Neodiprion lecontei: one gene and its partner. The protein of the gene in region 2 binds, or shares a complex with, the protein of the main gene of each other region. Links are inferred from orthologs where the notes say so. Each region holds a gene or a part of one and is shown on either strand. Other genes may lie near its edges.

Region 1 (4,203 bases), on a different chromosome or scaffold from region 2:
TTGTTTCGTGCAATTCATCATGGGTCGAACCTGGTATGCTCCTTGCATCTTTGAGCAACATTTTTTTATACTGTACATGTCGAACTTTGTCTGGATCCATTATAAAAGTCCTTATTAACCAGACACGACGGGTATCATATGGAAAATTTTTTCTTCGTCATTTATTTTCTTACAAATTGGAGTAGCTGGAATATGAACAAATAACGTTTGATTGCGAGTCTAGCAGATGCTAAGGACCTACGGCAGTGATGTTCTGCTTCAAATTTGAATTTCCGTTGTTTACAGTGATACGAATAAGTACATCGACTTACATTCACTGTGTGCAACTCCTGTATCTATTTTGTCTGTAATAGATTCGGTAATATGTTGATACTGCGTGAAAACACCAGACAAGGACTTCCTGATCGTGCCAAAACCCTGTTCCAAGTACGACGGCTCACAATTGACAGGTGTGGGGCTGAAACAATGCATGTCTAGTTTAGAACATCATGACTCTCGATAATGTAAGCAACCTAAGAAAAATTATGTCTAATACTGCTGATACTTGTGCTGAAATAATTCACACATTTTATGGCTGAACCAATGTTATGAAGTGCGGGATAAAGGGGGACGCGATCGAAAGGATGCCTTACTGGGTTCGTTTGCTCTGAGGGACGTCGAGTCAGATATCCAAGCATCAATTGCAGGCTTGACTGAAAACAATTCTGAGCGTTGATCAATTACTTGCTTTACCATTGGTCCACTTTTGACGGTGAGCCAAGCGTATATATCGGCAACTCGGAGGGGCGAATCAACTTCTTTTCGTCTAGTTCGCAAGGCGTTGGACAATTTGACGGAGGAGGGGCCGGCTTGACGATCGGTGTCGCTGCGCACAGCCCACAAGGCATCAGGAATTTCTTGAAAAACTTAAGTAACAACAATTGTTAAAAATATGAATTTAAAATAGAATTGGAAATCGGAGTACTGATAAAATTGATATCAAAATTTGAAATTAAATGTCTTTCTACTCCGTCACGCAATATTTACCTTGATTCCGTGCATGTTGGTCGACGGATTATTTCTCTTCTACTTATACCGAAAGGTCGGATAACCTATCAAGAGTGTCACTGGTCAGTCAGCTGTACCAGCAGACATTCACGTGACGTAATCGACGAAGAATATTCTTGACCGGAACGAGCGGAACGGGCGGAACGCGGACCCGATTGTTTAAATTTAATGTCCGCGTGATGTTGGGAAAAAATTTCACAACAAGCTGCGATTCGGATATGCACGATACCAACGGTTGTGAAATGCGAATATGCGAGGTAACGAGAATTTGAAACGGATGTTTTTCGATGCTATTAACGCTATGTGTGTATAATTAACGGTAAAAACATTTTCCCTCTTCGCAGTGTCAATCACGCATGCAAGTGAAGATGGAAAAAACAATTGACCTTGTTTTTACAACTCTCGACTTGTTCGTTATTCCTTTTCTTTTACGTCGTCTCTTTCCGTCAATTATTAGCCACATGTTGTGCGCTTGTACAACTATTGCATACCCGTTATACATCGTCCTGCATCTTGAAGAATTATCTTATCTTTTCCTCAATACCGACATTGAACTCATGGACGATCCATGCGCACAGCATCGCTGAAATGGGTCTTAAAAATGACGTGATAAAGATACGTACTTTAACGCCGGTTCGGCCAAATTCGACCAAAGTTCCTGGTTGGTAGTCGTCGCAACGATCGACCGGCTCTCGACAAGTTATGTCTTTACCAAAAATATTGCCAACCGTTTTTTCCAAAATACTGTGCACAATGTCCTTCATCCTCCGTTATATTGGTTCTTAATCTTTCGCTCACGTCTTACATATCAAACTAATAATTTACCATTTGGATTTGTTGCGTTTTCAGGTTGAATTTCGGGTTGGGTCGTTCAAATATGGCGGGTTCGTCGCAGTCCGTTTCCAGCTTTCCGCTCGGCTCGCGGTCCACCGTCCGCGTTCCTATCGAGCAAAACGTCGGAACGCAGCGTAAACGCCATAAACGCACGTATGTCGGAGTTTGACGGCGCATTTGACTTTTCTGGTCGAATAAACACATTGGGATACTACAAAAGTTGATTACCAAATTCACGGTACGAGGATAAAGCGATGGCACTATCGACCAGTCCAATTTCACCGTCGGTTGACCTCAGCTCTTATCGTGACCAGCACTTTAAGGTTCGTACTTCGATCACTCTACGCTAACATAACCTGTTCAATAACATTCGACGTGTTAAAAAACATTATTACTCCTCCTTTAGGGATCTCGAGTTGAACAGGACCGATTATTAAGGAACTCGACGACTCTGTACATTGGTAATCTCTCGTTTTACACTACAGAGGAGCAGATATATGAACTATTTTCAAAGTGCGGAGACATTAGACGAATTATTATGGGACTGGATAAGTACAAAAAAACTCCATGTGGATTTTGCTTCGTCGAGTACTATTTGAGACCCGATGCGGAAAACTGTATGCGATATGTTAATGGGACCCGTTTAGACGATAGAATTATACGTACGGATTGGGACGCTGGGTTCATCGAAGGCAGACAGTATGGTCGAGGAAAGACAGGTGGTCAGGTAAGATACTTTATTCTATACCTGAATATCGGGGAACTTGAATACGGGGCACCGACTAATTCTGCCAGTCAGGAAACTTATCTAATAGTTTGAATTGATTTTAAGATTCAAGTTGATACTTTAACATGTTGCGTGAGTTACTATAATGATTGATAATTTTCATCTAATTACCAGGTCAGAGACGAGTACAGATCCGACTTTGACGGTGGCAGAGGTGGCTATGGAAAAATAATCCAACAAAAAGTAACACCCGTTGTGGATGGGGCATTTGGTCGATGAAGTACACACTTATGGATGACAATCACATTTGATCATGATCGGTGATGTGCGTATTGTTTAATTCTATTCATTGACAACTACAGGCATATTGTGATGAATATACAAAGATTTGGGGTGACAAAGAACTTTCGTGTGCGAAAGAGTTATTCTATCTGGTTCTCCTTATTTCATTTATTTATATTTGTGTAAGTCATTAAATGATTCATGTTTCGTGACAAATGGAAGAAAGGTTTTCACACCCACAATATGCACGTAAAAAAACTTTATTCCTACGGATATTATATTTAATATGTATAACGTACACGCGCGATACAACTTTGGTTGACAGTTGAAGATTTTTTTTTTTATTAATTATTATATTTTGTACAGAAAAGACACACGTATATTCGCACATTATACATTACAATTATATATGCATATCGTATTGTTCTGGATATAAGCCGAGGTTTTTTTGTCGTTGACAGCAGCCGCCAAAATCGTCGTCGTCTAATACGCGGACCAGTCTTCTGTGCGTGTAATCAAGAAAAACATCCTGAAATACTGTCGCAGAATTCGGGGACCGCTTATACTCTGAACAATACTGTATATATATATATGTATGTACACGGCAGGACTCGAGAGGGATTCTTTGGTTATAATTCGTTCTTTTCGCGTCTTTTAGTATCAGAAATGAAGCTTCGGCGATATAACTTGTCCAATCATAATATTAATGTTATTAATGGTAGGCACCGGTTAAAATAATAATAATAATAGTAATGCTAAAATTAATAACAATAATCTTATCGTTTCTTATTGACGGGTAGCCCCGTAACATCAACAATTTTCAAAGTACCGCGTGAATATATGTGATGTATACGATTGTGCTTGTATTCCGTTTCAAAGAATACCGCACAGTCTCCGCGGTGCCGGTTTTTTCAGCACGGATCTAATCCCCTCTACAAATACCTCTTCCAGTCCCTCTGACTTTATTGCCGAACATTCGACGTATTTGTAGGCCTTGATTCTCTTCTTCATCTTCTTACATTCTGCCGGTGTTATTACATCCGTGTCCTCCCTGTTCCTCAGGTCACCCTTAGTGCCTATCCAAGATATATGATAAATAGTTTTAAGTGGAATCTAAAGTCTGATCAGTTGTTGGCAAACACACATCACTCGTAGCAGCATAATGTGGAATATTGAATACTTGAAATATTTATTACACACTTACCGACAAGGACAATTGGCACGTTGGGACAGTGGTGCTTGATTTCCGGATACCATTTGCTGGCTACGTTTTCGTACGAACTGCGCGCACTTATCGAAAAGCACAGGAGAAA
Region 2 (4,884 bases):
GTCCATTTTCGATAATAACACATATTATTCAAACGTTTTAAAACAATTTTGATTGATTTTTCATTGAAATGGATTCTGAGGATTCAGAAAGATTTTATTTAAGGTGGCTCCCGTGCAACTTTGTAAATTAAACGAAAATCCTCGGGGTGTTATTTATTTACCAGAGTTTAAAATTAAAATTAATGTTGAAATATTTCTCAGTTGCACAAATACGTAATGAAATTTGCTACACAATAACAATAAGTATAAAAAAAACAATTTTTTCTCATGGAACGGAGTATATCCTTGATATGTGTAGTGCTTTTGACAGCGCCAAAAGCGGCAATCCTGTATGCAAACATAACGTGGATCGTGTGTTATCGTCTGCGGTCTAAAGTGTTTATATCGTTTGTGCTTTGAACTTATTTGAGTACGAGGGGGCCACAACTCGTGTACATGCACGCCAAGAATGTTAGATCGGGCATCGTCGCTTTTGATCACTATTTTTAGAAAAACTTCAACGTCAATGCGCACTTTTCTCAAGTTTATTCGATTGTTAATATCCATATACATCCACACTATACCTCAATTTTTTTTTTTATATTAACACTGCAAATAATCACTACGTTTTAAATGCAGCATTCTTGGTTAGGATTATTTTCAAAATTTTAACCATGAACGCCACTTCTTCTGTACATCATTGTCAAATTCAAGACTTATTCTATCCCTTCATTGTATTCGCTCAACATTTAAGTGTTTATTAAGTCAAAGGAAAGCTTAAGAAATCTCAACAACTTCGAGGTTTTCAAAAATCTTCATTGTTAGAGCTACAAACTCCAACAATTTTGCGTAATATCAAGAAAAAATAATGAATACCTACCTCATCCTGGCCAAAAGTCTAGGCGTGAATCTGCTGCGCTTTGGCAACATGCCGTGCGAAATAAGAGCGGACAAAACTCTATTATCGTCATATAATCTCTTCATGGTTAATTACAGCGAGACAATAATTAATGTAAATGACAAAATAAAATGACCACGGAACCTTATTCTCATCGATCGTTAGCAGATGCAGCTATTTGTGATAAAAGTAACAATGGGCATTTGAAGAGAAAAAACAGACAAGCTCACCTGTTGTTGTTTGAATGGTTGCCGTAGTGATGGTTGCTATGGTGTGCCGGCGTGTAATGATCTGGACCCCAGGAAGTTCCGCCACCATAATAATCGTGGCCCCCGTAACGCGGACGGTCTTCCCAGTCAGCCCGCATCCGCTTCATCGGCGGAGCCATTTCCTGGGATCGAGCTGGGCTGTATCGCTCTCGACCTCCGCCTCCCCCGCCACCTCGATACTCACGGTACTCGGGCCTCGCTCTTGGACGACTCGACCATTCCCTGGGAACAGAAATCAAAATTTTTAATACAAGGGTGCATTTGGTATAAAATGTTGTCTTGAAAATACAAGTGCAAGGCTTGATAGAAGAGGAAGAATTAATGAATACAATTGAGTATGACGTTAAAATTTGCGAAGTTATCGTAATGGCGGAATATCAAAAATACTCGTTGTCTATTAACTTTCTGAAGTGTCTGAAATCCAGAAAATCTGCATATCATACTGTTTTGGCAAATTTGTATCTTTGAAATTCAACTCCTTCAAACTTCATTTTGAAGCTAAGGGTTGTTACATTTTTTTTTATCATGCTAAACTCTCTGATTGTTACAGGTTTCTTATAAAACCTATAGACGAGAGATTTGTAGCATACACGATACAAAATCTAAATTGATAAAAGCACAATGTTAAGGGTCAATGGGTTCCACCGTCTGAATCGAAAATTTAGGAACAAAGGAAAGAAAGGAAAAGTAGTTTAGAAGATCCTCCGCAGTATTATTTGGGCAATTGATAGTGAACACAATATCTTCTAAACAGTTTTAACTCTTTTCCGAAATTTCATTTAAACAACCCAAGTAATTAATCCTTGATTCGACATATAAATTATTCAGCATACGGGATTGTTCTCTCATCTATTTAGATTTATTAATGACCTTGAACTTAGTAACGATAATGTGATGAAACATTTAAGAAAAATCAGGCATCTGCATCTTTGGAACTATTTCGAATAAATTCAGTTTCCAAAATATAAATTAAGGGTATGGTATAACTTCGTTACAGTTTACCAAATTTCAGACAATACTGCTGTTGCAATATATTATATTTTCTAGCAAATCTGTTGTTACAAAAATGTTGTTAATGCCTGGACTGCTGCTTGGACAGTGTTTTTAATGAAGCATCTGAAATTGTCTTCGCAGAGCTGAACCTAAAAGAACTTCACTTAGAGTAAAAGATTTGCACGTACCTGTCAACCCACTCATCTCGGCGACGATCATCGCCACGTCTTCCTTCTCTGGAGTATGACTCGGTTCTTTCGCCTCTGAATTTGTCCCTCCTCTTTCTATCGTACTCGTCATCAGAATCTGCCATTATGATCTGTAATTTTGTAAACGATCGATTCAACAAAGTGCCCAGATTAATAATAGAGACCATTGTTTACTATTCTCAACTCGTACAGTCGTAGAAAACTAATACAGCGCAAGATCCACGATAACAATAATAATAATATAGATTATTGTAAGAGGCGTCCAGATAAGGTGAAAGCTTTCGGGGACAGAAAACGAGATCAGTACGATACGAATGATCTCCGATAGACACAAACTCGTCGCGAAATTCGACTGTCGTTAATTTGTGATACGCTAAATGACGACGCGTACTCTCGTTGGCTTGGACAGCGGTACGGAGACTTGATTGACGCGTTATTGGGAGGTTATGCTCGACGTTTCAGTTCTGTGGCCGGATTTTTGTCATGCGAAATGTATACTTGTACAAAATAAAAGCATAGTACAATTACCTGAACGATCGCGGATTAAACAACCGGCTTCACGGCGTAGCACTCAACACGACACACACGATTTATCCTCCCGCGGCTCTTCGCTTTGGGTGGCTACAACACTGAGATGTAAGTAGTTTCAGTGGGCTACAACCAGCCCCTTACACAAGCTGCTAAAAGTGGTTCGCAAAATGTCCCTCGATTCTGCCGCCAATCTCCACCACTAGTGGCGCTAGTAGTTGTCTGACGGCTTGCGCGCAGTCAACGAGGGCAGCGTGCGTATCAGAAGTCTATTAGCGCCAGGTAGCGGAACTAAAAAATGGGGACAAAACGCGTACAATTTTTTAGTATACGAGCAGTGGTGAGTGTCAAGGGCACGGCTACAACCCTTTTTCGGTGTTCGGTTCTCTTCTTCGGGTGAATTTGGTAACAAACTTGCTAACCGAGTTCTAGGGATTTTTAGACATAGCGTAAGATGAATTGTCTATCAATGGGATCATATCAAATCAGAAATAATGTGACGTTACTTGACTTGACTTGAAAATATAAAAATTAATAAGCAGCAAGTCAAGTTGTCCCAATTTCCTGAAATATACCTAGCAGTTAACTTCTAGAAGCTGAAAAAATGTGTATCCATACTTCGATATCGGACATGCTGTGGATTACTCCTATGAAGTTAAAAATTTTGGGAATCTCTCCTCTATCTTTCGACTCCAGCAGGCATCATCACTGCTAGACGAAGATTAAATTAGATCTAATAAAAGAGTTGCTGTCACAGCATCTACTTCGACTCTTTCACGATCGGCAGCCATAATTGCAATTCAGGGCAATATTTTACGCATTCAGTGCTAAATTCACGCACTCGAGCTGCCAGTGGAACACGCTGGAAATACGAGTCTACCGTTAGTGCGCTCTCAGTTCACACTCAGTGCAACCAGTGGAAAACGCTATGAATTCATTTTCCCTAGGATTTCGGTTTTTCTGTTGGCCAAAAACTGGGTAAATCGCACTCAGTGCGCACAAAGTGCAGTTTAAATTTTACCTTTGCTATTAAGCTGGGATTTCATTGGCAGAAATAAGCAGCAGTTTAGTATCTAATACTAGATGTTACTAATATCTGTCTAGTGATTTGACGCAGCAGCAGTTCTGCTCATAAAATTTCTTGCGTTTGCTGGTTTAATGATGAATTTCAAACATCAAAAACTTGCGCCGCAAGTGCTGGTAACTTTTAGTGAATTGCTGCTATTGCTGCTCCTTTTTCCTGCCCATGGAATCCCAGCCTTAAGTTAAAAACAAGGGAAATCGCAGTCGGTGGGCACCCAGTGTAACCAGCTAAAAACGGGATAAAATGGACATAGTTGCCGTTGTCCTCGCCTGGCAGCACTGCGATACACTATGTGGCCACAGTAGTTAACCAGCAGGGAAACAAAGTGGAGGTGACGAAAGTTTGGTAAGCATCTGTCGCACATATTTTCGCTTTTATATACGTTTATACGAGCGCGTTTTTAATATGAGTTACCGAGAATGACGCGAAAATGTTTCGTCCGCGGATGCTCGAGTGGCTACGCATCTGAAAACAGAGAAAGCACTTCTAGAGGAAAAAGGAGAAGAACTTTGTTTAGTACACCACGGGTAAGCGAATGCTTGTTTCCTTCAGCAATATATGAATTATGGGCTATTCAAAAATTTTGGAAATGATATATTTGCGTTGCATAAACATTAGGAACTTATCACTTTCTGTAACGAAAAACATATTCTTCTACATCACAGTGCGAAGAGCTGCGGAACAAGTGGAATGCCGCCTTGGCTCGCGATGACCGAACGTTATCTGCAAATGACTCAGTTTGCGAACTTCACTTCCATGATAGCGACGTCGAAAAATGTTATCAAACTAAAATGCCTGACGGAACTATTCACAGGATAGAACGTGGTAGATACAAGTTAAAACTTGGCGCTATACCATCTGCTTTTGTAATCAAACGTTCAGAGGTACAGTCCCTAAATTTGGTTCAACGGATAAAGTTATAGT

The links. The genes of interacting proteins can lie anywhere in the genome.
Region 1: the proteins of serrate RNA effector molecule homolog (region 2) and nuclear cap-binding protein subunit 2 are in contact, whole or in part, in a cryo-EM structure (PDB 8PMP), measured with the Homo sapiens proteins. The link is inferred for Neodiprion lecontei from reciprocal best matches to the Homo sapiens genes SRRT and NCBP2. Residues at the interface, in NP_056992.4 of Homo sapiens: Asp857, Arg859, Ala860, Ile861, Val862, Glu863, Tyr864, Arg865, Ala869, Asp874; in NP_031388.2 of Homo sapiens: Ser48, Phe49, Tyr50, Thr51, Thr52, Glu53, Gln55, Lys67, Met71, Leu73, Met76, Lys77, Lys78, Thr79, Ala80, Tyr89, Asp107, Glu121.

The regions. Positions count from the first base shown.
Region 1 is NC_060261.1:34,859,715-34,863,917, forward strand, and holds nuclear cap-binding protein subunit 2, read left to right. Parts: upstream 1-1,981; 5' UTR 1,982-2,135; coding exon 2,136-2,204; intron 2,205-2,287; coding exon 2,288-2,608; intron 2,609-2,782; coding exon 2,783-2,887; 3' UTR 2,888-2,933; exon of another isoform or gene 2,934-3,012; intron 3,013-3,208; exon of another isoform or gene 3,209-3,351; 3' UTR 3,352-3,655; downstream 3,656-4,203. Other genes in the region: MICOS complex subunit MIC27, read right to left, coding at 312-457, 733-905, 1,027-1,041; ras-like GTP-binding protein RhoL, read right to left, coding at 3,764-3,966, 4,095-4,203. UniProt on the Homo sapiens protein: Component of the cap-binding complex (CBC), which binds co-transcriptionally to the 5' cap of pre-mRNAs and is involved in various processes such as pre-mRNA splicing, translation regulation, nonsense-mediated mRNA decay, RNA-mediated gene silencing (RNAi) by microRNAs (miRNAs) and mRNA export.
Region 2 is NC_060264.1:19,007,166-19,012,049, reverse strand, and holds the start of serrate RNA effector molecule homolog, read right to left. Parts: upstream 3,034-4,884; 5' UTR 2,877-3,033; intron 2,459-2,876; 5' UTR 2,453-2,458; coding exon 2,328-2,452; intron 1,369-2,327; coding exon 1,108-1,368; intron 1-1,107. Other genes in the region: uncharacterized protein LOC124294542, read left to right, coding at 4,380-4,487, 4,626-4,844. UniProt on the Homo sapiens protein: Acts as a mediator between the cap-binding complex (CBC) and the primary microRNAs (miRNAs) processing machinery during cell proliferation.